Linked DNA regions of Stegostoma tigrinum. The protein of the gene in region 2 binds, or shares a complex with, the protein of the main gene of each other region. Links are inferred from orthologs where the notes say so. Each region holds a gene or a part of one and is shown on either strand. Other genes may lie near its edges.

Evidence for each region.
Region 1: deoxynucleotidyltransferase terminal-interacting protein 1 (region 2) and zinc finger protein 541-like share a complex: the UniProt entries of both Homo sapiens proteins name them as parts of the histone deacetylase complex. The link is inferred for Stegostoma tigrinum from reciprocal best matches to the Homo sapiens genes DNTTIP1 and ZNF541.
Region 3: the proteins of deoxynucleotidyltransferase terminal-interacting protein 1 (region 2) and mideasb are in contact, whole or in part, in a cryo-EM structure (PDB 6Z2J), measured with the Homo sapiens proteins. The link is inferred for Stegostoma tigrinum from reciprocal best matches to the Homo sapiens genes DNTTIP1 and MIDEAS. Residues at the interface, in NP_443183.1 of Homo sapiens: Pro63, Ser66, Leu69, Leu70, Ala72, Val73, Leu74, Pro76, Ser77; in NP_001036783.1 of Homo sapiens: Gln768, Asp771, Leu772, Thr774, Ala775, Ser778, Ser779, Ile802, Leu803, Leu806.

The regions. Positions count from the first base shown.
Region 1 is NC_081392.1:18,939,240-18,947,626, reverse strand, and holds the start of zinc finger protein 541-like, read right to left. Parts: upstream 3,433-8,387; 5' UTR 3,427-3,432; coding exon 3,264-3,426; intron 1,126-3,263; coding exon 1,001-1,125; intron 708-1,000; coding exon 580-707; intron 1-579. UniProt on the Homo sapiens protein: Transcription regulator which is essential for male fertility and for the completion of meiotic prophase in spermatocytes.
Region 2 is NC_081372.1:57,376,885-57,384,920, forward strand, and holds the start of deoxynucleotidyltransferase terminal-interacting protein 1, read right to left. Parts: upstream 3,366-8,036; 5' UTR 3,301-3,365; coding exon 3,226-3,300; intron 649-3,225; coding exon 578-648; intron 1-577. UniProt on the Homo sapiens protein: Increases DNTT terminal deoxynucleotidyltransferase activity (in vitro). Also acts as a transcriptional regulator, binding to the consensus sequence 5'-GNTGCATG-3' following an AT-tract.
Region 3 is NC_081363.1:86,352,307-86,360,527, forward strand, and holds the start of mideasb (mitotic deacetylase-associated SANT domain protein), read right to left. Parts: upstream 3,714-8,221; 5' UTR 3,627-3,713; intron 2,945-3,626; coding exon of another isoform or gene 2,905-2,944; exon of another isoform or gene 2,793-2,904; intron 2,500-2,792; exon of another isoform or gene 2,075-2,499; intron 1,149-2,074; exon of another isoform or gene 1,049-1,148; intron 1-1,048. Other genes in the region: ptgr2 (prostaglandin reductase 2), read left to right, coding at 2,905-2,944.

The DNA.
Region 1 (8,387 bases), on a different chromosome or scaffold from region 2:
TGACTCATAGAAGAATGCAGCACAGATGGATACCACCTGGCCTATCATGTTTGTATCAGCTCTCTAAAAGAGCTTCCTAATTAGTCGCCCTGCTCTTTGCTCATCTTTTGATGTATTTATTCAATTCCTTCTTGCAAATTACTATTGAAAACCTGGCACTCAAATATTAAGGAAACACTTCAGGTACGGGTAACGTCACTTTTAAATCTGGCTCCTAGTAGCCTGTAAAAAACCTGGTAGGTTTTGGTACAATGCCTTTCAGTCACTTTTGTTCTGTTTTTCAAGCCAATAACCCTCTTTCAACCAAGACCCGTAAATGCAAATTAGCTGATTGCTTATCTCATGCAGTAGTTTGTGGGATGATGCTGGACAGGCACTGTTACCTTTACAGGACTTGACGCATGTTAATTACATGAATACTGGGAATGCCTAATTTAATCACAAATATCGAACTTGCGTCTGATTTGTAATGAATAAAACAAAACCTGGCATTTCGTTTCATTCCAGGTAGACAAAGCAAATCTGCTGTGCGTGAAAAATAACTAATAGAAATTCCTGAGTTACATAATGTTCACACACAAGTGGTCCTGTCTCTTAAAGGCCTTATTGCAGATCCTGCAGACATGCCGACGTTCATGACTATGCGTCAGGTAGTGTTTGCTCAGAGCACTGGCACTGCTGAATGATTTTCCACATTGGCTACATTCCTAGAAAATAGAATATACAAACTAATTATCTATTTTTGCCTCAAATGGGTTTCAACATAAAGATAAAACAACTGTAACAGTTAATATTTACATTCCTATTGGTCTCCCTAATATATCCTACTCTTACAGAACAAATCAGAACTTATTATTTTTGACAAAACTGGTTTGTGTTCTCCAGCTTTCTAAAAAAAAACTAAGTCAAATATAATGTAGATTAAAAACTTCTTGGCACAGATTTCTTTTTAGGGCCCTAAAACCAGACGAACCAGAAGAACAACAGTTGCAGTGCTAACCTGAAATGCTTGCTGCGGAGAATGCCTCGCGGAGAGACGCCTTCTCTTCTGCAGCCCTCCATATTTCACTTCACTTTTACCTCCACTTTTCTCAGGACTATTTTTTTGAGGGAGTGGACTAATACCTGTAACAAAAAAGTCAATAGGAAAAACCAGCAATATTTCAGCCTTACAAACCTCTGAGATCTCTCTTCCCTTCCAATTCTAGCCATTGGAGTATCTCTGATTTTAAACACCATGACTGGAAGGCATATCTTCAGCTGCAATACCCTATTTTCTGTAATGTCCTCCTTTAACCCCTCTGCTTTACTCTCCTAAGGCTTTCCTTAAACTCTACCTCTTTGACCAAGACTTTGGTCATTTGTCCTAAATAACGGCGTGCAGTGGCATCAAATTCTGCTTTTCGTTATGCTCCCATGAAGTGCTTTTGGGTATGTCACTACACAGATGCTATCAAATTATAAATTGTTGTGTAGACATCAGTTGGGGGTGGGGGGAACAGAATGGGGCTCAGTTACACTGCTGACCAGAAAAAAAGCTGCTGACAACCACTAGATAGGATTTGTACAGCTGTGGTATCACAAGGTAACTTCCACTACTGCAAATGAATCTTAAAACATTCAAAAAGACACACTGAGGCAAATAAAGAGTATATACAGGAAAAACATTGGCACTCTAAATACAAAAACAAAATCCATATGCACAGCATTCGATTATTCTCTAACAAAACTGATTTCCATGAAGCATTTAGCAGTCTTGGTACAAGCGCATCACAAGATCCTTGTTAGCAGCTTTTATAACAAAAACACATAAATCAAAAAGGTAACCTTTACAGCATTACCATTCAGATAATAAAACAAATGAATAAATATCAGCATAGTGGAAGCCAGACAGAAAGCTGACCTACCCATGCTAAAGGTCTACTTGAATATTTGGGAGTAACAGGCTCTCTTACCTACCGTGAATAAAAACAAAGTTGCTGGAAAAGCTCAGCAGGTCTGGCAGCATCTATGAAGGCGAAAACAGAGTTAACATTTCAGGTCTGGTGACCCTTCCTCAGAAGTCAGTTAATGAAATGTTAACTCTGTTTTCTCCTTCACAGATGCTGCGAGACCTGCTGAGCTTTTCCAGCAACTTTGTTTTTGTTCCTGATTTACAGCATCCGCAGTTCTTTTGGTTCTCTTACCTATCACACTAATTTTTGATTTCTGGTCTACAATTCTGACAGCCACAATTGTGAGTGTCTTTCTGAGCAAGACTATATAAGGACAGAAAAATGATTCAATACAGTAGATAGCACACAAAGTTGTTTCTTCTAGGTAGTAGATACTACAGTGTATTTATAATGGAATAAGTCAGTTGGAATGCCTTCCCAGATGGGAAAATATAAAACTGGTGAATGTGACATATTGATCCAACTCATCTGTATACTTTAAAATGGAGGACCAATATGTACATTTCCAAGCATTCCTGAGCTTTGTTTCAGAGTCAGAGTCAAAGAACAAACTGGCCTTCTTTGGGTATATATCCACGCTTAAAAAATAACTATTCAACATCTACAACATAAAACTTATCCGCTTTCCTCAAAGATTATCTAATTTCCTGTCACAATCTCAGCAGAAACCCTGCAAATTAGCTTCCAAGGCTGTTTCTACCATTTCTCAGTAGCTTCTGCCAACAGTGTGAGAGGGAGATGGCTCAGAAAATACACAGATTAAGATTCCTTTTTATTTCCTAGCAGTCTTGTCTGCTCTTCTGAAAGATAAGATTTATAGTGAAATACATACAAATGGTTGTAGCCCTCTGTTATTGTGTGTGTGTAAGACTAAGCACAAAAGTAATCAAGCTATTCAAGTGAGGAGGGAATGACATGCACATTCTGATCCTCCTTGCACGCACCATTCATAATTTCTTTTTCTAACCGGTAGGATTTGTTAAATCAGAACTAAGAACACTGGAAGATTTTCTATTTCCTAGCCAGGGAGGCTTAGGCCAACTGTAGTGCCCACTGTTGCTCTGCCTATCCTAGCACAAACAACTGTGGATCTGAACAGCCTGACATGTTATTAGGCAGTTTCATAAACAGGCCATTAGGAAAGTTAATACAAATTTTAATAAAATCTTATCGGAGCCGTTAAAAGTTCGGTGTTAGTAAGTAATTTTGACTGGGCATTTATTTTGAACAAGCAGGAAATCAAGTTTATCCCAGCAGCAAATACTTATAAGAGCACTGCTGTGCTTAGAAAAATGCACATTCAAGTACCTAGCAACATGGGTGGAGAATCTGTGTCCGTGGAGTCACTGGGAATCTTTGGGGAGTCACATCCCTTATCTACAGTACACAGGGATAGATCTACATTGTCAGCAAATGGATCGCCAGGAATTTCTGCAGTCTCCAGGTTAGAATCAAGGTCTATACTTGTCATTCCTGCATAAATAATATCATCAGGGTCTGGGATGAATTCTTGTCTCTGGATATTACTTGCAATGGGCAACTCACTGTCTGATAGCAAAGGCAGATGCATTTCGGTTTGGAGAGAGCTCTCATCGGTGAAACTGTAGCAATCCATAGCTCCTGATTTGGGAATATCCTTCTGTAGAATTAAACAGCAGTCAACTAATTTTCACAGCATGAACCTATGCAAAAGCATCCTCTTCTTTACTCTGTGTATTGCTGCAGCTTTAATAAAATAGAAACAAAAATAGTTTAGAGACAGATTCAATTTACAAAAAATTGGTAGCCAGTAAAGGTGTAATTATACAGAATTAATTTTCTAGTTTTTTTTATTACAATCTTCTATTTAAGTTTCTCCAGACCATGAATTATTCTCCAACAGAAACTATTGCAAAAGGTCAGAAAGGAGTAGGTTTTTTTAGTCGAAAGTGTTAGGAAAGGGAAGCAGTTGGTTTGCCCTCCATTTTCTTTTTCCCTGTCCAAGCAGAAAACTGCCATACCTTCATTCGGCAACTCCTTTAAACAGGTGAAATCAGCAAACAAAAAACTGGGTGAAGAATTGCAACTACAACTTCACACCCTGAAATACAGCAGAGAAAACCCTAAACTCAAGATTAAAAAAAACTACTAAAATATATGCTACTATTAGAGACATGAATTAAAATGACAATTTCAGCCAGTCATTTATTGTTTATATTTTTGATTAAAATGCACAATCGAACACATATTTTGACAAAAATAAAAGTCCGTAACCCATAACATATCAATACTGTCCCAATGATGAATTTCTGCTGTTGGCTCTGCCTGTAGGATGCTCAACAAAGGTCAGGGAATGGCACAAAGTGAGGGATTCTAGAAGAATCAATTGAATTTCACATTTCATACAGAGAAACGTTCACAGTTACATCACAAATAAACACTGAATCAGTTGGGGGGGTGGAATGCCTAGTCAAAAAGATGAGTTTTAAGAGTTCTCAAGAATGGAAAGCATTATTCAAAAGTTCAAGAAAGGAGTTCAGAGAAGAAAGGAAGATGACTTCAAGGCTCTGTGAGCAGGAGGAGCAAGAAAAGGAGCAAAGAAATGTGAAGTCAAGACAGCCAGCTGAAATTCTTGGTTTCTCTTTCGCCTATTCTAGATAACAGCAGCGCACCAGGGGAAAAGAAATCAAGTAAATTCCCAGAAGCATGGAAGTTTTGTCTCAGAGAAATAAATATGAGCACACAACAACAAACATCGTCAATAAACAGAGCAATTATCTGGTCATTATCTCATTGCTCTGTGGGCATTTGGTATATGCAAATTGGCTGCCAGTTTCTCTAAACTACAACAGTGACTAGTGGTCAAAAGTTATCAATTATCTGTAAAATATGCAGCATTATATAAATGCAACTTTTTTCAACAATCTATTAAGCATAGATGTTAGTTTCAGTAAATATAACTAATTTTCAAAATATATCTTTGCAAGGAAATCATAGAAGAAACTGACAAGCTTTAAAACAATACACTATCCTTCCTCGCTTACTTGAGGTGTACTTTTACATCATCTCCATAACTTTAAATGTTTTTACTGAGCTATTTTTGCATGCTAAGTGGTAATGAACTTACGCTAGAGGGTGCTCTCGCCTTCAATCCATAACAATACCTTGCTTTAATTAACGGTTATGCTCTTGGAAATCGCTACTTAAAACAAAGCAAGGTTTCCCATTTGACAACACAGTGTGGAGCTGGAGGAACACAGCAGGCCAGGCACTATCAGAGGAGCAGGAAAGAAGGGTCCTGACCCAAAACATCAACTGTTCGGCTCCTCTGATGCTGCCTGGCCTGCTGTGTTCCTCCAGCTCCGCACTGTGCTGTCTCTGACTTAAGCATCTGCAGTTCTTGCTATCTCCATTTAATTTACCATTAATTTAATCCCATTTAATTGTGTGCAAAAAATTGGACATGCATTCCCAAGTAAACATTTTTAGCCCCAACATGTAACCTAAATACGAAATGCACGTCACTTGCTAATAACAAACACGTTTATACATGGAGATTGAAGTGAAAAATGGCACAATGGTACATGATCAGCCATGCTGTTTGAATGGCACAGCAGACTCGATATGCTGGATGGCCTAATCCTACTTCTATTACCTATCTTCTACAACACAATTCACAAGAACAGTTAATAGTGACAATTAGTAAGGTGGATTTTCTTCTGTCTCACTTTGATGTTTGTAGAATGCTTGAATGAATGGTCATACCTTGGGGTCTTCTTGATAAAGGTCAGTGCAGCAAGTGGTAAAACTTTCATTCTCCCTGCTGAACTTAAAAATGATCCCTCTTTGGAATGAAGTTTATCTTTGCAAAGTTTTAGCTCTCCAGTTAGCTTGAAAACCTCGGACAGGTGTTACAATGTTAGTTGCTTTTGATTTTTCCTCCTGTTTTTCATTTTCTGTGATCAATACAATTCTTGCTGAAGCGGCATCAGTTTGTTACTTGTCAGGAGGTTCTGGCACATTTTCCAACATTACCTGGGTCTACTTTAGAAAATTCCACCTTGATGGCCAGTTACCCCCTGGACTGGTGGAGTGTAGATGTGCATATATATCCAGCAGGTATTGTACTGGGCTCAGCACTCCATGGCAGCCACCAACCAGTCCATGCAGTGAGCCACTCGCATGCAGAAGCAGCAGGGTTCCAATGCCACTGCTGCAGTCCTGCAACCTAACCACCAGGGTTATCCAGTGCCGCTGACAACTTGCCTACTGCTCCTGCATCTGCCTGTGTATCTCAATTAAGTCACAAATGGCCTGGGACTGCACAGCAGCTTGGTCACCAAACAGTCCCTAGAGTGCCAGACACATGGTGCATTTCTTCCTTAGCTATGTGAAGATTTGACCGTGATATGCTCGTTACCACGTGCACCTGACTGCAATCTAGTTAACATTACCACGAAAGTGTCAGTATCTGAGCTGTTCTGTTTTATTCTGGGGTTGGGGGAGGGGTAGTGGTAATTGGGGGCAACCTTGCCAGGACATTCTTGGAGACATCATGCTCTCTTCCTCAGAGGTACAGCAGGTGATGTCTTGCACAGCAGGTCTGTTAACAGCAGAGACTATGATGATGTTGTTCATGCCTGCAGAAGACAAAAGGAACAAAAACTGTCGGAAACAAATTCTGGTGTATTAAGAATGCATTCCTACTGGCAGCAATGAAGATGAACAATGAACAAAGGTTTCAGTACCTCTATAGGACTGGTCTCGGACATTGCTGGAATGGGCCTGGCTCCAATGATAGCTGGGGATGAGGAATCACTTGCCAACATTCCACCATCTGTCTTGGTTCTTTCTGCCCTTTTATGGTCCTTTTTCTCCTAGAATGAGAGAAAGGGAAGAATTGCAAGTGATGGAAGTGACTGGCACAGCTATTAGTGCTGGTGCAGGTCAGGATAGGTGGAGCAGTGCCTCAAGTGAATAAGTAGACAGTGCTGTGGCCATGCATGTTTAGAAGGACTGAGTGGCTGAGGGCAAGAAGAGAAGATAATGCATGCAATGGTATGAATGGTGGACCATGAGTTTGGTGGGAGACAGGTGCAACAGCAGAGATAGAGCAAGTGTGAGGCAGCAGGGAGGAGATGGAGACACTTTCCCTGGCTGAGCAAGGAAGCTTCTCACTATTATGCGTTTCCTTGATAGTTGAGACAGCACTGACCCAAGTGGCTAACTCTGATGAGAACAATGGGGGCTATTATAGTCAGGTCCACCCTTCATTGCATTTCTCTTACAGTTGCTGGACTGAGCAATTTTGTCAACTGTGGATCTCCCAGTTCTGAAGCCACAAGATTCAAGATAGATGTGCTCATCCAGGATCTCTAATCTAAGAAGAGCAACACGGGCAAATACCTTTTCCCCCATGGCATATTCTAAGGCACTTCTCGTCCCTCCAGCAGACACATATTTGTGCAACTGTTGCAGGAACACCAATTTTCTGTGCATGATTGTTTCAGGTAGTATGGCATCCATGTCTTGCGCTTTGCCTATGGCAACAAATCAGTGACTCTACCTAGTTCCTCCAAAAGCCATTCATTATCTAGCTCTTCAATGTTAGGCAAGCTCTAAGTAGCATGCAAACCTGCCTCACTAACCATATTCACAATTCAAGGTAGTGTTCCACCCATCTCTCCAAATGTTTATTGTACTCAGGGACAATCTCCTTTCCTTTGTTTTGAGTGCAACTTATTGGTTGATGGATCTATCATCTTTTTGATCCCATCATTCATGCTCTTAGTATTCCTTGTGTCAAATGATATCGGATATTTTGGTATAGCAATTGACAGTCTGTTGGATTTTAATTCGAACCACTCATAGTACATGAATAACTCATCTCTTCTGGAACTCTTTTATAATAAAAAGTGAGAGCAGATCATTTAACTTTGTTATTCTATTTTAGTGATATGAAGAAAGTAGTGCAAATACAGGTAAATTGGGGAAAAAACCAAGTGCTGAAAACATTCATCTGATCAGACAGCATCTATGGAGAAAAAGAATGAACTTGTCAGGTCACAATATTCCTTCTTCAGTTCCGAATGTGAAATAAATGCACAGAGGCCTGCAGCCCATCACCACATCACCCTTTATTTACTTGTGCACAGCACAGTGACTACGGCCAGCCAGGTCAGGGTCAGGCCCTCTGTTAATATTGGTCACCCAGGACCTCCTGATTGGCCCAGGTTAACAAACATGACTATAACTGCCACTGTTTTCTCAGCAGAGTTAGCCACTTAAGTCAGTGCAGTCTCAACTATCGAAGAAGTGCATAACAGTGAGAAGCTTCCTTGATCAACCAAGGTAAGTCATGCAGTACTTCCTGACTGGCCCAGGGTAACAACCGCAATCAAGAAACTTGTAGTCAAAGAAGTCCACATGGTTCCAATCACTTCAGAATTTCAT
Region 2 (8,036 bases):
AGGCAAAAGATTCTGAATCTGACAAGCGGAGGCTATTTCAGTGAGTTTGAGATTACAATAAATTCACTTCTAGTGTTTCTTGTTGCCACATCAGTTCTGTTGACTGATCTCTATTCTCAGACAGGAAATCCCCCAGCATTGATCGGCCCAATCAAACTTATGATCAGAAATCCAAGAAGTCCTAAAGTCTAATGATGCTAGCTGTAAACACAGACTGTCTCTCACAGCTGGCCAAGGTTGAAGATACTTCTAGTTTCATGAAATGTAAGAGATTCTTTCAATACTCTATTTATTGTCCAACACCATTTGCCCTAAAAGTCAGCCATGTACTGAGTGACTGGAGTCACATGGTGGCCCACCAAATCAGGATAGCCGCTTCCCTTTAGAGAAGGGCACCAATGGACCCAGTTGAGTTTTTAAGAATAATCAGGTAATTTGGCCTAATACTGGTGCTAGCCAGAATTAACAGATTGGTAAAGAATCCTTCTTCCAACTTCACGTCTAATATGCAGATTCCCGATCCTTGACCAGGTCTGAAGAGAATACACTCTCACAAAAATCAATAAAAATGTTTTACCTCACTGCCATCTGTGATCTCCTACCCCTTCGAGCAACTTGGCGGTGCTTAATCATAATGTTCCAGGGATTCTGGAAAACAGGGAAACCTTGTAAGATCATCACAACAGCAACTCAGGCAGCATCAAAGCCTGTCACTAAAAGCACACTCTTGTAAAGAACACATCTTTTTAATTTTCTATTTCTGTTTGTGGACTAATGTAGGAAAAGAATGGCTTCAAAACTAAGGATTGCTGCATGTTTAGAATGCAGACAACCTAACAGTCATTGCAAGCTTCATTTAAAGAAGCTGAAACAACGACAGAAGTTGTTGGGCAAGCTCAACAGGTCTGGCAGCATCTGTGATGAAAAAATCAGAGTTAACGTTTCAGATCGGGTGACCGTCCCTCAGAACTGTTAACTCTGATTTCTCTTCACAGATGCTGCCAGACCGGCTGAGCTTTTCCAACAACTTCTGTTTTTATTCCTGATTTACAGAATCCGCAGCTCTTTTGATTTTATTTTACAAAGCTGACTGTTCAAGCTGAGAGATAGTAGGAACCGCCTAGGAATGGCAGGAATAGTAGAACTGTTCAAGCTGTAGTTATAGGGTCATAGACTCATACAGCACAGAATCAGACCCTTCGGTCCAACTTGTCCGCATTTGAAGTGTTGTTTTGAAGATTAGCCTGGAGCCAAGAGATGTGTATAAGTGAAGGTTCGATTGGCAACAAATAGTTGATTGTCTGTGGACTAGAAACCAGTTATTTACAATAAGTACCCTCTGTCAGGCCAAAAACTCTGAGATCAATTCTCAGGTACTTAGCTTGGGACTGTGAACAAAATAACGAGAAGCCTTCAGACCTCTGTTCTCTGCAGTAAAAGCCATCCTAATGCTGACAAAACGGACAACAAAGTGTGGAGCTGGATGAACACAGCAGGCCAACCAGCATTGTGCTCCTAAGATGCTGCTTGGCCTGCTGTGTTCATCCAGCTACACACTTTGTTATCTCTAATGCCGAAGAAAACTAGTTTTGTTTTCCCTCCAGCTTATGCAAGCCATGACTATTAGTTAATAAGTCAGGAATCTTTCACAAGTATGACCCAGCTCCTGCAACCCAGTGAAAGCACCCAGAGAAGGAAAACTGACAAAGTGTTCTGATCAGCACAAGAACTATCTCAGCAGATCTTGTGAACCGAGATGACTGAACTGCTTTCCCAGTTTCCCCTCATCCATAACATCCATGTTTTTTTTTAAAACCTGTGTCAGTTTGTGAGCAAAGACACGTATAAGGGGATTAGAGTTTTAACCAGTAGAGTGATATGTTGATGGCTCAGAATTGTTTACCTGTAACTAGAGTTTAATCACTCACAACAATGAGCAGTTTGCTTAAGTACAGAAATCCGGTCCATGTTCTCTATCATCCTGAGTCTAAAAGACAGTGAAATAGGGCAATTTTTCATGGTAATGTTAAGTTTTGTGACAACTTCAGGAATAGCAGGGTTTGATTCCCAGTGCACTGCCCCAAATAGGCAGAACAACACGCTAGGCAACCCAACCCCCATCCATCGAGCCCTGCAACACACCATCAGCTTTTTATCCAATTCATTGCAGCATAACCCCCTCTGGCTCGGTACCATTGCCTTCTAACCCATGACTGCTAAAACCTAGAAGGACCAGGTTCCAGCGCTTCAGCAAAGGCACAAAATTTTATTACAACCCACTTAGGAAAGTGTACTGATTCTCAAACTCCCATGGTCACTGCAAAAGTTAATGACTTGATCCAAGCACATAAAAAAAATTCTGACTTATTAATTATTAGTCATGGCTTGCACAAGTTGGAAGGAAAACAAAAAGTTTTCTTCAGTGTTACGGTGATTTTTACTGCAGAGAACAGAGGTCTGAAGGCAGTGGATGATGGTAGTTGGAGGGTGTGATGGGAGTGTGGTGTGTTGATGGAAGTGGAGGTTGGATGGGAATGGTTGATGGGGGTGGCTACAGGCGGTTGGAAGGGTGATGGGGAGGGGCAAGAGATGGAGGGTGATGGGGGAGAGAGCGGTGGTGGGGGGGGGGCGCGCCGTGGGAGAGTGGGGGGTGGGTTGTGGTGGGAGAGTGGGGGGTGGGGGGGTTGTGGTGGCTGGAGGGGGAGTTCTGGGGGGGGGAGGGGGAGTTCTGGGGGGGGGGTGGGAGGGGTTGTGGGGGCGGAGTGGGGTGGGAGAGTGGGGGGTGGGGGGGTTGTGGTGGCTGGAGGGGGAGTTCTGGGGGGGGTGGGAGGGGGAGTTCTGGGGGGGGTGGGAGGGGGAGTTCTGGGGGGGGGTGGGAGGGGTTGTGGGGGCAGAGTGGGGTGGGAGAGTGGGGGGTGGGGGGGTTGTGGTGGCTGGAGGGGGAGTTCTGGGGGGGTGGGAGGGGGAGTTCTGGGGGGGGTGGGAGGGGGAGTTCTGGGGGGGGTGGGAGGGGGAGTTCTGGGGGGGGGTGGGAGGGGTTGTGGGGGCAGAGTGGGGTGGGCTGTTTAGGAGTGGGGGGGGAGGGCGGGAAGAAGAGGAGTTGCCGGGGGGTGGTGAGTGGGAGGTTCACCCCCTCTTGGCCCCGGGCGGATCTGATGATGTGGGGGTTGTCCTGTCGGACCGGAAGCGATCCGCCGCCCGAGCCCCGGGGGTTGCTCTCCTCACCGTGCCGAGCTGTTCATGCTCCGGGAGGCCGCTGCCGTCCCCACTCGGGCTACCGCCGTCTCCACTCGCTCCCATGGTAACCGCTCCTTCAGCCGCCAGCACCGGACTCTCAGTTCCCACCGGATATCACCCACACTCACTTCCGGGGCAATGCGCGCGTGGCCCGCCGGGAACCGCTTCCGCTGCCCTGTGCGCGGCTGCGCCACCATTTTCATGCGGGGCGAGCGGCTGTCCACCATGCCAGTATGGGACAAGCGGCTGTGCGACCATGTTAGTTCGGGGCGCGCGGCCGTCCGCCATGTTGATGCGGGGCGATCGGCGGCCGCGAGGCGTTGGGTTGCTGCCCATAGTGAGCAGGGCCGCCATCTCAGTTCGGGGCAGACGTCCGGACTAGCCCTGCCAACAGCAACGGGCAACGTTTGAGCGGTCGGGTATAAAAGTTGGTGCCATGAGCGGCCCACGAGTCCCGTGGTTGGATAGTTTCGCACAACTCTGCCCGATTTGATCGGTGTATTTGGCCTACGACCTCCGGAGATGCTGCCCCCTGCAGTTTAAATGGAAAACTGGGCGCAACAGTTCCTTGAGGCTCTGATTCCAGCTTAGTCATGGTACTGGCTCCATAGCTCAGGGGTTAGAGCACTGGTCTTGTAAACCAGGGGTCGCGAGTTCAAATCTCGCTGGGGCCTACTCTTACAAATCTGTTTTATTTCTGTGACTGAGGGGAAATGAGGCTGGAACAGAGGCTGGAGGTTTCCAAAGGGTTATAGAAGGCAGATGAAGAGAATGTGGGAAACCAGAAGAGGTAGAGGGTGGAGAGATCCTGAGAGAGATGAGTGCTCGACTGGTCACTTTGGCCAAACTGACCACTCAGAGGCACACAGGATCCATGGCCTGCTTCATGGTTCCACTTTACTTCCATGAGAGACCAGGAACAGGAGGATGTAGGAAGTGGATAGAGGATGGGGTGCACTGCATACAAGAAACAGCTGTCCAGCCTCATCCCATTTTCCAGCACTTGGCATGCAGCCTTGTGCGTTCTGGGCGTTACTTGCTGGAACCTCAAGGCAGCTAGTAAGAAGATGTGACAATAGGTTGCCCTTGTGGTCAATGTCCGTCCTCGAGAACCTGCATACAGTGTGGAAAGATATTTCATACAACTGTACAAATTAGGACCCTGAACAGACCACTCAGCCCGTCAAACCTGCCCCACCATTCAATAAGATCATGCCTGATTTTGAACTGGTCAAGCTCAGTTTCTCAAAGATCATATCATTTTATCTTCTGCATTTTTGCTTGTGCGTCAGAGGATGCATCAAATGTAAATTTTAAATTTTTAATTTAAAACCAGGTCCAATGGAAACAACCTAGGTGGTTTTAATTTGTATCATGAGTCATTTAGATCTTTGCAATTCACCCTATCCACGCCCATCATGATTTTATAAACATCTGTACAGTCACACCTCAACTTCCTTGTGAAAGAAGGGCCAGCCTATTCAGCCTCCCTTTAGAAGAAAAATGGAAAATAGCATTCGGGGAAAAAAAGAAATAGCCACAAACAAAATTTGTCAGCCCAACAGCACCCACTGAGGCTGGGCACAGAAGAAACCTTCAAACCTGTTGTTGCTATGTTTGAATGTGGGATAATTTTAAAAGAAGGAAATGTCAATCATCATCGAGCAAAGTTACTTCTGTGAAAATTGTATTTTCCTTTAAGAAAGAACAAACAAACAGAATTTGATAATGCTTAGAACCCACATAGTAATGTTTCATTTCTGTTTTAAAGATGTTACAAAAGCACATTTTTAAACTGGACAGTAAAGCTTCTTCAGAGCCCCCATTACAAAGCTGGTTAGAGTAAATGTGAAGTGGGAGGCAGGAAGCTAAAATGTGTGGCTCCTTTAAAAGATTTGTGCCTTGTCTGTACTTAGAAATTTTTTAAAAATAAACATTTCTATGTCTGAGAGCAGCAGCTGAAGTTGCCTGCATAGCGAACCTCAAAAGGTGAAACAAGCATAGCAAAAAGACCTTACAAGTGGCAGGTAAAACAGTAGTTTTGTTTTGATGTTGTGACAAGTTTGAATTCAGCCAATTAATTTCAATGAAGCACCTAGATAAAGAAAGCCAACAGAATTTAAATATGATGGTGTTACCATCACCCTGAAACCAATCATATTATAAGAATTTGATTATGTCATGTGGGGTATATAAGATGAGGGCATTTGGAAAATTGGGGAGAACTAACTGCCATTTACGAGAGTTAGCACCATTCAGCTCTCAGAGAAAGCACATGTACTTAATCAAAGGTACCACAGCGTTTTAGCTCAAAGTCCTCATTTGAAAAAATTATAGAGATAAAACATCCCTGATAGCAGACTTAACAGAAGAGAGGTGTTAGTGAAGAGATAGGAGAAGACAGTCTGTGTGGACTTGAAGAGATTAAGTTATAATTTATTGCTTTTTATTAATTGGGTTTATATTAGTTGGGCTTGTTTTTATTTAGATGCCATCCCAGTAGAATTTAAATCAGTTAGGGAGTAGTTAGTAGACAAGGGGGGAATTGTTGGTTTGTAATTTTATTAATTGTTGGGTTAAATAAATAAATTTGTTTCTTGTTCTTTTGTAAAGTGGATATCAGGGATTTTCTTTCTTTAAACCGGTCTTTTAATAGATTATGAGGGGAAAGACCAGCTTCACTTGGTGTTTTGGGGTAATTATTAGAGGGGAATGCCAACTGTTGTCATAACAGATCAGGGCTTGTGTTTTAGTTTAATTATCAGAGGGGTTTGGCCATTCCCTGTTATAACACCCCAAAGTCAAACTGAATGGTTAATAATGGAATGGCCCCATTTAGAACCAAAGAACAATCAGCCCTCCAAGCCTGCACCAACAGATTTTTACCCTTCCATGCTAACCCTGTCCTCACTTACAGGTTCTGTATCCCTCTATACCCTTCCTACTCATGTATTTGAAAGGTAATGAAGGGAAATTGCACAAGATTGAATGGGAGATGTGGTTAAATGGGATATATACAGTGAGAGAAAAGTGCAGTTGGAATTGTTTCATTGACAGCTCTGTCTTGGAGAAACGTGAGCTTTTAACCATGAGGTTGTTTTTTTTAAGAAAATTGGATGATTTGGCCACCACATGAAACATGGGGAGAAAGTAAGGAAGATAGATATGCTTACGCCTTCTTTTCTGACTTGTTGAAAAGATCACCTAAAACTCAAAACTGCATGCCATGATCTGGGGATATGGGTGTACACGTGCAGAGGGGATTGTTACATCTGAAGGGATGGTAGCTCAGTTGTTAGTGCTGCTACCTCAGAGCCCAGAGAACCTGGGTTTGAATCCAGTCTTGGACGACTATTTGTGTGGAATTTGCACTTTCTCCCCGTGTCTGTGTGGGTTTCCTCCGCGTGCTCCGGTTTCCTCCCACAGTCTAAAGATGCGCAGGTTAGGTGGATTGGCCATGCTAAATTGCCCATAGTGTTGAGGGTGGGAAATGCAGGTAGGGGGTGGAATGCTCTTCGAAGGGTCGGTGTGGACTGGATAGGCGGAATAGCCTGCTCCCATACAGTAGAGATTCTATAACCAACTTGAGGAAAGACATGGTGGATATGTACTGAAGAACAGGTCTCAGACATTGACATTGACAAGGACTGGAAAAATAGTCCTTGTGACCCGAAGAACAAGAAACATTATTTTAAATGATAAAGCACTGACACAGTTTAAAAACAAATTCATTCACAGGACATGGGCATATCTTGACTAGACCAGCATTTATTGCCCATCCCTAATTGCCAAGAGGGCAGTTCAGTGTCAACCACATTGCTGAAGGCAGGGAGTCACATGTAGGCCAGACCAGGTAAGAATGGCAGTTTCCTTCCCTAAAGCGCATTAGTGAACCAGATGGGTTTTTCTAACAATCGACAATGGATTCATGATTCTTGATTCCAATTTTTTTATTGAGTTCAAATTCAATGGCAGAATTCACATCTGAGTCCCCAGCCAATTGCCTGGGTCTCTGGCTCACTAGTCTGGCCATAATACCACAAGACTATCACATCCTCTAGACCACAATCCACAGAGAAACTGACATTGAAATAATCAGAAATAAACATCATGTACAGTATTGGTGACCATACTTATGGAAGGATGTCAATGTGCTGGAGGCAATTCAGAGAAGATTTACTAGATTAATGAGAGATAGTGGGAACTGCAGATGCTGGAGTCCGAGATAACAAGGTGTAGAGCTGGATGAACACAGCAGGCCAAACAGCATCAGAGGAGCAGGAAAGCTGATGTTTCGGCCTAGAGCCTTCTTCAGACATGGGGGAGGGGAAGGGGGCTCTGAAATAAATAGAGAGAAGTGGGGGGCTGTAATAGCAGGTAGATAGTGGAGTGGATAGGAGGGAGAGAAGACGGATGGGTCAAGGAGGTGGGGATGAGAAGGGGGATGCAGCTCTTGGGATGAAGTCGGAAGCATGGAGGTTTTGAAGCTTGTGAAGTCCACATTGAGACCATTGGGTTGTAGGGTTCCAAGGCAGAACATGAGGTGCTGCTCCTCCAGTGGCATAGTTGTGACACTGGAGGAGACCCAGGATGGACATGTCGTCCAAGGAGTGGGAGGGGGAGTTGAAGTGGTTCACGACTGAGGTGTTTGTCGTGAACCGAGCCTAGGTGTTCCACAAAGTGGTCTCCAAGCCTCTGCTTGGTTTCCCCGATGTAGAGGAGGCCACATCGGGAACAGCGGGTATAATAGACCACATTAGCAGATGTGCAGGTGAACATCTGTCTGATGTGGACAGTTT
Region 3 (8,221 bases), on a different chromosome or scaffold from region 2:
CCAAGTGCATCACCCCACATTTATTTGGATTGAATTCATTTGTCTCTGATCAGCCCATCTATAGCCTCCTATAATCTAATGCTATCCTCCTCACTATTTACACTCAGCAATTTTTGTATCATCTGCAAACTTACTTGTTCAACCCTCTGATATTCAAGTCTGAGTAATTTCCCTAAACCTTAGACTTCAGGCAGAAAGCCCCGTATACCCACATCCCCAGATGTTGTGATATTCAGTGACAACAGGAGAGCGAAAAGATAGCACTAAACTCCACGTGAGCAGCCTGGAGTGCAGAGCAAGTCGTAAAGCATGCAGTGCAAGTTCCCCAGCCTTCATTCCGTCTCTTTCTAACCCAAATACTCCCAAACCCCTAAAGAAACAAAGTAGTTCAGCCTGGGGAACTGCAGCCCTCCCTCCCCCAGTTTATTGTAGTCATTTTGCCAGTAATAACTTGCCTGTAGTACGGCCAGAGGATCTTCACATCTTGAGAAGTAACACATCGAAACCATTTCCTCCGCCCACCTATTCCCGCACCGCCCCCCCGAACCGTCCCTCCCAAATTAAAATACCAATACCAAAGCTGCCTCCCACACACAAATGTACAGTACAGTGAACCCAGAAAGACTTTGTCTCAGTCTGACAGAGAGGCCCTGCATTGATATAGTGCCGGGTTATTGATCATGACATGCTGAGGGCTGTGGCAAAGATCCACGTTGGATGCATCGAGAAGCCTCATGCTCTCACACTCACCACCTCTCCCCCCTCCTCCTCCACAACCCCCACCTTTTTTTATTTGGCAATGTCCCAACAGCCATTTTAAAAGTGAACATCAGAGCACATTAAAGCGGCGTTACTTTGTGCAGACAGCAAATCTGTGGGTTATAGAAGAAGCACGCCGCCTACAAATCAATCCCAGATCACAGAGAGAGAAAAAAAGAACCAAAATCTTAACGAGATTAGAATCTCAAATCACACCGGCGTGTCAGAACTTCAGTTCACAAACACACCGGGGTCACAGTGGTGGCGGGGGAGCTGAGGGAAGTCATACCTGTGGAAGCCCAGAGCCGGATGAATAAGACTCGGAAAATACAAGCAGCAGCAACACCTCCACCTCCTATCTCCACCACCTCTCCCTCCACCCCCCACATCACCACCATTACCACTCTCTCTTTCTCTGTGTGCTGCTGCCCCCGCCTCTGTACACCATCGCAATGCTGTGGCGAGCTTGCATTTGACAGGCTGAGTCATAGAGTTTACCTCATCGCGGGCTGAAAACACACACAGACACACACAAACTGCAAGCGACATGACAATTGCACAATCATGATCCCTGCAGCACCAGCTCATCCCCTGCACTTCTCGAAATCCCTTCACCTCGAATGCAACAAAATACAACCAACGCGGTTTGGGGATTTTTTTTTAAAAATCGCACACATATTTCACCTCCCTACACTCCATGCACAAACAATCCTGTGTTCACTATTTCCTGTTGGGCCGACCGAAAACAATAAAACCCAAATGGCACGCAGCCCCTTTAAATCCTGTAAATACACCGGGACTTTCCACTGGGTGCAGACTTGCAATGGGCTATACCAGGAAGAGCGAAGTCAGTCCAAACGTGCTTAAAATGCAAGCTTTCAGAATTTCATGTTACACAAACCTCAATTCTATTTCGTGCATTTTTTTCCTCTTTTGCGGCGTGTCACTTTGACCAGCAAAAGTTTGCACAAGACAATACTGTTTAGAAAAAAAGGCCAGGTCATTTGCAAAGAAAACACTTAAGGGTGGGGAGCGAAAATGGAGATGTAATTTATCAGCTCGAGAAATTCTATTTCACTCTGCCTCAACTATCTCGCTTTCTCTCTGTCTGCAAACTGCGGGGGTCACCTGCTCGCGTCAATTTAAGGAGCAGGCCGCTGAAACCAAGCGAAGTGCTAGAAGCTGGATCAATATCCGCACTGACCCCACTCTCTCTCTCTCTCACACACACACACAGTCACGCACATATACAGACAGAGACCAGGCCATGGGAGAAGGGTCAAGGAGATCTAAAAAAAAAACTTCTGTAACTTACACAGGCCAGAGTGTTTGTTTTCCCCCTTGCAAATCGCCCAGCAGTTTCTCAATCCACAACTTTTTAATTTCGCCTGCAAACAGTTGGTGGCTCACTTCCTAGTTAAGAAACTACGTCTTCGTAAAAGTTATGCAGTGACGTCAAGGACCCAGCCTGTCAGCAAATCACCACGGCCACTTTTTTTTTGTTTAGAAGTGGCTGTTTGGAAATGTCTTTTTCTGAAATGTATTTTTTCCCCTTGTTCTTAAACTCCCTCCCGCGATTGTAATCCTCTCTTTCACCACCTCCGCCCCCCAAACCAGAACTGAAAGGACTATTTTCTGCACTCCATTGCCCTGTGGCTGAGGCAGACGTGTCCCCTGGGGCGGGGTGTGGAAGCTGCAGTTGCTATCTCAAGTTGGACTTGCCCACGTTTCATTAAAAAGGTCGGAATGGTATATTGTTACAAGTGGCGGCCTCATAACGCTTGCAAGTTGGCTGGGGACAATTTGTTGCAATCACGTTGTGCTGTGTTGCAAGTTTGAAGGGCTGGTTAGGTGTTGCGTCCTACACGAAGTTGCACAGGTTGTGAAGTTTCTGGGGGAGTTGTCTTACTGGGAGCTCAACGTGTTTTGATGAATGTGAAAACCAGTTGAGGGAAGGCGGAGTAGGTTGTTTGGATTTTTTTTAAAAAAGCGAAAACGGGGTGGGGTTTTAATTCCAATGGAAAAGCGGAATTGCAGGACGCGACCTGTCGGTTGTATCGAGAACGCAGCTACTGTTCGTGTTTACACTCTCTCTTTGCCACACTGAGCTGTGATTATCGGATAGCTGCAAAATGGGAACAGAAAATGCTGGAAGTACTCAGTAGATCTGCGAAGGGCAGAAACAGTGAGCGTTTCAACTCCTCGATACTGTACCGAAGTTGCACGGTTACCTCCCCCCATAGGAAAATGAAGTAGTTCGGTTCCTGAAAGGCCTGTGTTCTGCTATATTCTGTTGTTTTGTTCTCCCTCTGGGCTGGAAACATGTGACTGTTAAATAGGGCAGAGAATAATTATCTTGTTCGGCCCGCCTTTGTATTTAGTAAATATTGTAAAGAATTTCTGGTTTGAAATGCACAGGCTTTGACTTGTTTTATAAATACCATTACACTTTATTTTGATAGTACAGGGACATCGCTAATAAAATCCAGCTAGGTAGGAGTTTGCGTACACGCTGATACCTGTTAAAGGGTTGCTGTTAATGGAGCTTTATCAGAAACGAATTCACTGCAGTGAATTTTTTTTATATGCAATTAGAATTTAGTGAATTGTGATTTGTAAAAGGTCAAACTGTCTAAATCCTTGGCCTCTATCCTGGGAATATTGGTTAGTTAACCCGTAGCAATTGCCTTGAGACCTCACCTGAGCAGCTATACACCATCCAGGCTATAGCATCACATCCAGTCCCTCCAGCGCTGAGGCTCAGAAGCACTGTGCACGATCTACAATTTGCAGTGCAGTAACTTACTTTGACAGACACCTTCCAAACTCTCGATCTCTATCACCGACATGAACAGAGTCACCCCTACCTGCAGGTTTTCCACCAAGCCACTCACCGTCCTGACTTGGAAACGCGTCGCTCGGTCAAAATCCTGGGATTTCCTCCCTAGTAGCATTGTGGGTTAATGTACAGCACGTAGACTGCAGCGGTTCCGGAAGGCAGCCTCACCACCACCTTCTCGAGGGGCAACTAAGGATGGCCAATAAATGTTGGCTCCGTGACCCACGAACAAATTAAAAACCATTTTATTCCTTGTCTGTTGAAGCCATCTCTTTGACCCTGTCAGCTGTTGGTGACTGAACCAGACTGTTATGCTGCTGGTATGTTTGATCCTGAGATAAACTTTCAACTGAAAGTCTGAGACAGCAGACTATCTATTTTCACCACAGTAAACCACCTAACCCCACAGCTTTCTCACCTGTTTTGCTGCTAAAACCCTCACTTAGTTCTTTGCCTCTTAAAGGTGACCATTCCAACACTCTCCTGGTTGGGGTCTCTTAAATCATGAAAACTTGCAGCTCCTGGCTAACTAATGCTACCTTTCTTTTTGGTATTCCCCTCCATGGCCCCAACTCTGTCTATACTCCTGTAAACTCTGCCAATCCACAATGCTCTAAGATATTTTGACTCCTACTGCTTGAGATTGAAGATTGTGTCCCTGTTGGGCCAGATTTGCCAGATCAGTGAAAATAGAATGGCACAGGTAGTTAGGAGAGTAAGTTGTGAAGAGGAGATAAGAAGTTTGCAAAGGGATAAAGACAGTGGGTGAGTGAGTGGGCAAAAACATTGACAGATAGAATGTAATGTGGGAAAATATGAACTTGTCCACTTTAACAAGAAGAATGGAATAGCAGCATTATTTAGAGAGATATTGCAGAATCTCAGGTACAGGGGGATCTGGATATTCTGGTACGTGGATCACAAAAGTTAGTGTGCAGGCACAGCAAGTGATATCAAAGGCAAAGGAAGTGCTGCTGTTTATTGTAGGGGAACAGAAAATAAAAATGAAAAACGAACAGTTGTATGGGTCCAGGGTGAGATTGCACCTGGAATAATGTGTACATTTTTTGGCCATTTTTATTTCAGAATGTGTGTGTGTGTGTGTGTGTGTGTGTGTGTGTGTGTGTGATACAGGAAGTTCAGTGAAGGTTGACTCTATCAATTCTTGGTTTTTTGTGGCACTGGGAGTTGGTGGTCTCATGGGAAAAGATTGGACAGGTTGGGCCTGTATCCATTGACATTTAGATAATGAGTGATGATTTTCTTGAAGCCTGTGAGACCCTGAGGGAACTTGACGCAGTGAATGGTGAAAGGATATTTCATCTTGTGGAATGGACTGGACTATGGGTTACTCTTTAAAAATGAGAGGGTCACTTTATTTTTAAAGGCAAGGGGTAATGTTTTCTATCTGAAGGTATTTGGCATCTAGAATTGTCTTCCTTTCAGAGTGATGAAGTGCGTTGGGATTGGGGGTGGGGTTGGTGGGGGACATCATTGAATACCTTTTTAAGGTAGAGGTACACATATTCTTGACTATGAAAGTGGTCAAAGGATATGGAGGGGGTGAGGGAGGGTCAGCAAGTAGAACTGACGCCACAATCATACCAGCCATGAGTTTATTGAATTGCAGCAAACTAGGCCAGAGGGGCTGAATGGCCTATCCCATTCCTAAGTGGAAGGTCTGACTGAAATTGCAGATAGCTCAAATTGCTGTGAGCTAATGGAACTTGTTCTGATAGAGAATATATCTGCCAATAGGGCAATCATGTAATAAATAATCTATTACAAGCCTTTAGAACTTAAAATTTTAAACAACATTAACAAGGAGTGGAAACAGTGGTTGCAGCTTAAGGGCCAGAATTCCTGATCTGACATACCGAAAGAAAGGCTTGAAATTGTGTTGTATTTTTCACAAGCCTGGGGCAATGCAGCTAATGATGTGCTTTTGGTATGTTATGATTTCGGAAACAAGGCATTGCAAACTGCATTGAGTTGGGTCCAGGCGGGAACAGGACACCATAAGGATACAGGTTCCAGGTGGGTATAGCAGCTCATGGGGGTACAGGACAATGCTGCCAACTGCGGGAACAGCCATTTTCCCCCTCCAGCAGGCCCACCCCTTTACTCAACTACCTTCATCCAACTTTCAACCTCCTGTAGAGCTGCTACTGAGAGCCCTGACACCGGTTCCCTCCACTTCCCCCACACCCCCACCACCCCCAACCGCCGGCATCACCCTTTCTCTGGCAACTTGTCTCGTAACCTGCAGCAAATAAGCAGGGAGGAAACGGAGGCGAGGGAGGTGGGGGAAAATTTTGTTTGAGTTTGCTGAAGTCTCGGCAACAGACAATTTGATGGGGATTGACACTTGCTGCGTTGACTGGAGCAGACAGGGTTGGAATAAATCAGAAATACCATCAGTAGTGCCCCTAAAAAGTTCAGCCGTACTTATATTTTCAACAACTTTGATCTTTTTTTTCCATTTTGGTAGTAATGTGTCTGGAGGATGTCGGCCTCCAGAGGACCTGGATGTCTGAGCAAATTTTGTCATTAATGTGTGAGCATACGTATTAGGAGCACGATTAGCCACTCGGTCCGTCGAGACTGATAGCCCATTCAGTGAGATTGTGGCTACTACTCTCCAGCTTCCTGCAACTCCCCGCACCCTGTATTTCAAGCAGACATTGTAAAGACCGTGACTACATGGAAAGCAGATGTGTTCGCATTTGCTTGAATTGGATTGGAATATCAGATGTGAAAAGCCCTGTACTCTTATGGGTGAAGATATATGAATGTAAGAACTAGAGCAGGCCATTCAGCCCTTCAAGCCTGTTCCACCATTCTGGCATGATTTTAACCTCAACTTTACATTGCTGTGTATCACCGACTAATCTTTGATTCCCTTGGTAATCAGGGATCTGTTCACCACTGCCTTTAAAAATATTGAAATATCCTGTATCCACTGCTTTTTGAGGAAAGGACTTCCAAGAAAAGATGTTTCATCATCTGTTTAAAATGGGTGAGCCTTATAAACCACAAGAGGAAATAGCCTTTCCACCCAGTCAGGTGGTTGAATATTTTTGAGGCATGGGTAGATGTTTTTATTTGATGACAACAGGAATGAAGAGTTATCATGGGTAGATGGGAACGAAGAATTCAAGAAGAGCTTGGCCATGATCTCATTGAATGGTGGAGTAGGTTTAAAGGGCTGGTCTTATTTATCCTATTTTGTACATTAATAAGGGATTTAAGACACCTCGCTACAGTACCGAGTGGAGTCCTGTGTCTAGTTTTGGCCTCCTTACCTGAGGAATGATGTATGTGGTCCCAAATGAATGTCAGAGAGGTTCATTAATGTGGGTTGCTGGTTTATGGGGATTGTCCTATGAGTCAGCTAGGCCTGTATTCCCTGGTGTTTCAAAGAATGAGAGATGATCTAATTAAATTGTGAACCTCTTGAGAGGCTGGACAGAGTATATGCTGAGAAAGCATCCCCTCTGGCTGGGGAATTGATGACGTGGGGTCACTGCCTCGGACAAAGAGGTAGACATTTATGCTTGAGCTGGAGAAATACCTTCACTTAAAGAGTTGTGAATCTTTGGAAGCCTCAAATGCACAGGGTTGTATGTACGCTGTGTACAGTTTGGAGAGATTGTAATTGGATTTTGGGTTGTAAGAGAAATAGTTACATTATGGGCAAATCAAGTCAATGTTGAAATTAGCCATGATCTTAATGATAGAGGGCTCTAAGGACTGATCTAGTCTGATTGCAATCTTAATCCCACTTTACTGTCCACCCTTTCAAGTCCCTTGTAATTCAAAGCTCTATTCAACTCGGCCTTGAGTACATTTGATGACCCAATGTTCCCTGCTGTCTTGGGAAGAGAATTTCACACACCACCAACCCTTTGAGTGAAGGAGGAGGAACAGGATGAGACATCATCTCTGCCTCCATACTCAAAACCCCTCAAGATCACACGTGTTTCAGTACGATCACCTTTCTGTCTTCTAAATTCCAATGGATACAGGCCCAACTTGTTAGGGTCTCTCACAAAAAGGAGAGACTTATCTCCTAGGAGTCAGCCAAGCGAACCTTCCCTGAAAGGCCTTCTGTGTGGGTCTGTCCATCCTTAAGCAAAATCTGCAGCATTGTACACAGTCCTCTTGATGTGGTATCACCAAAGTCCTGAATATCTATAGCTGGGTGTCCATCTCCTTACAATCAAGATCACTTTCCACTTGCCTTTCTAAATACTTGCTGTACCTGCAGGTTTGCTGGATTGGAGCTTTCTGCAGTCTCTCGCCATTTAAATGATGTCCTTGATTGTGCTGGACTGGAGCTTTCTGCAGTCTGTCTCCAACTAAATGATGTTCTGCTTTTCCATTCTTCCTCCCAACCCTCTTTTTCCCACTTCTGCTGCTTTTGTGCTTCCTCATTCAACCTGGCCAAATCCATTTGTACCTCTTTGAATCCTCCTTGTTTTCCTCCCCACCTTCACATCCTTAAGCAGATTTGACCACAATACAGTCAGTCCCTTCATCCAAGTAATAAACCACAAGTTGTGTTCACCTTCCATCTAGAAAGACAGATATTTGGGAACACCACCACTTCCAAGTTCCCTT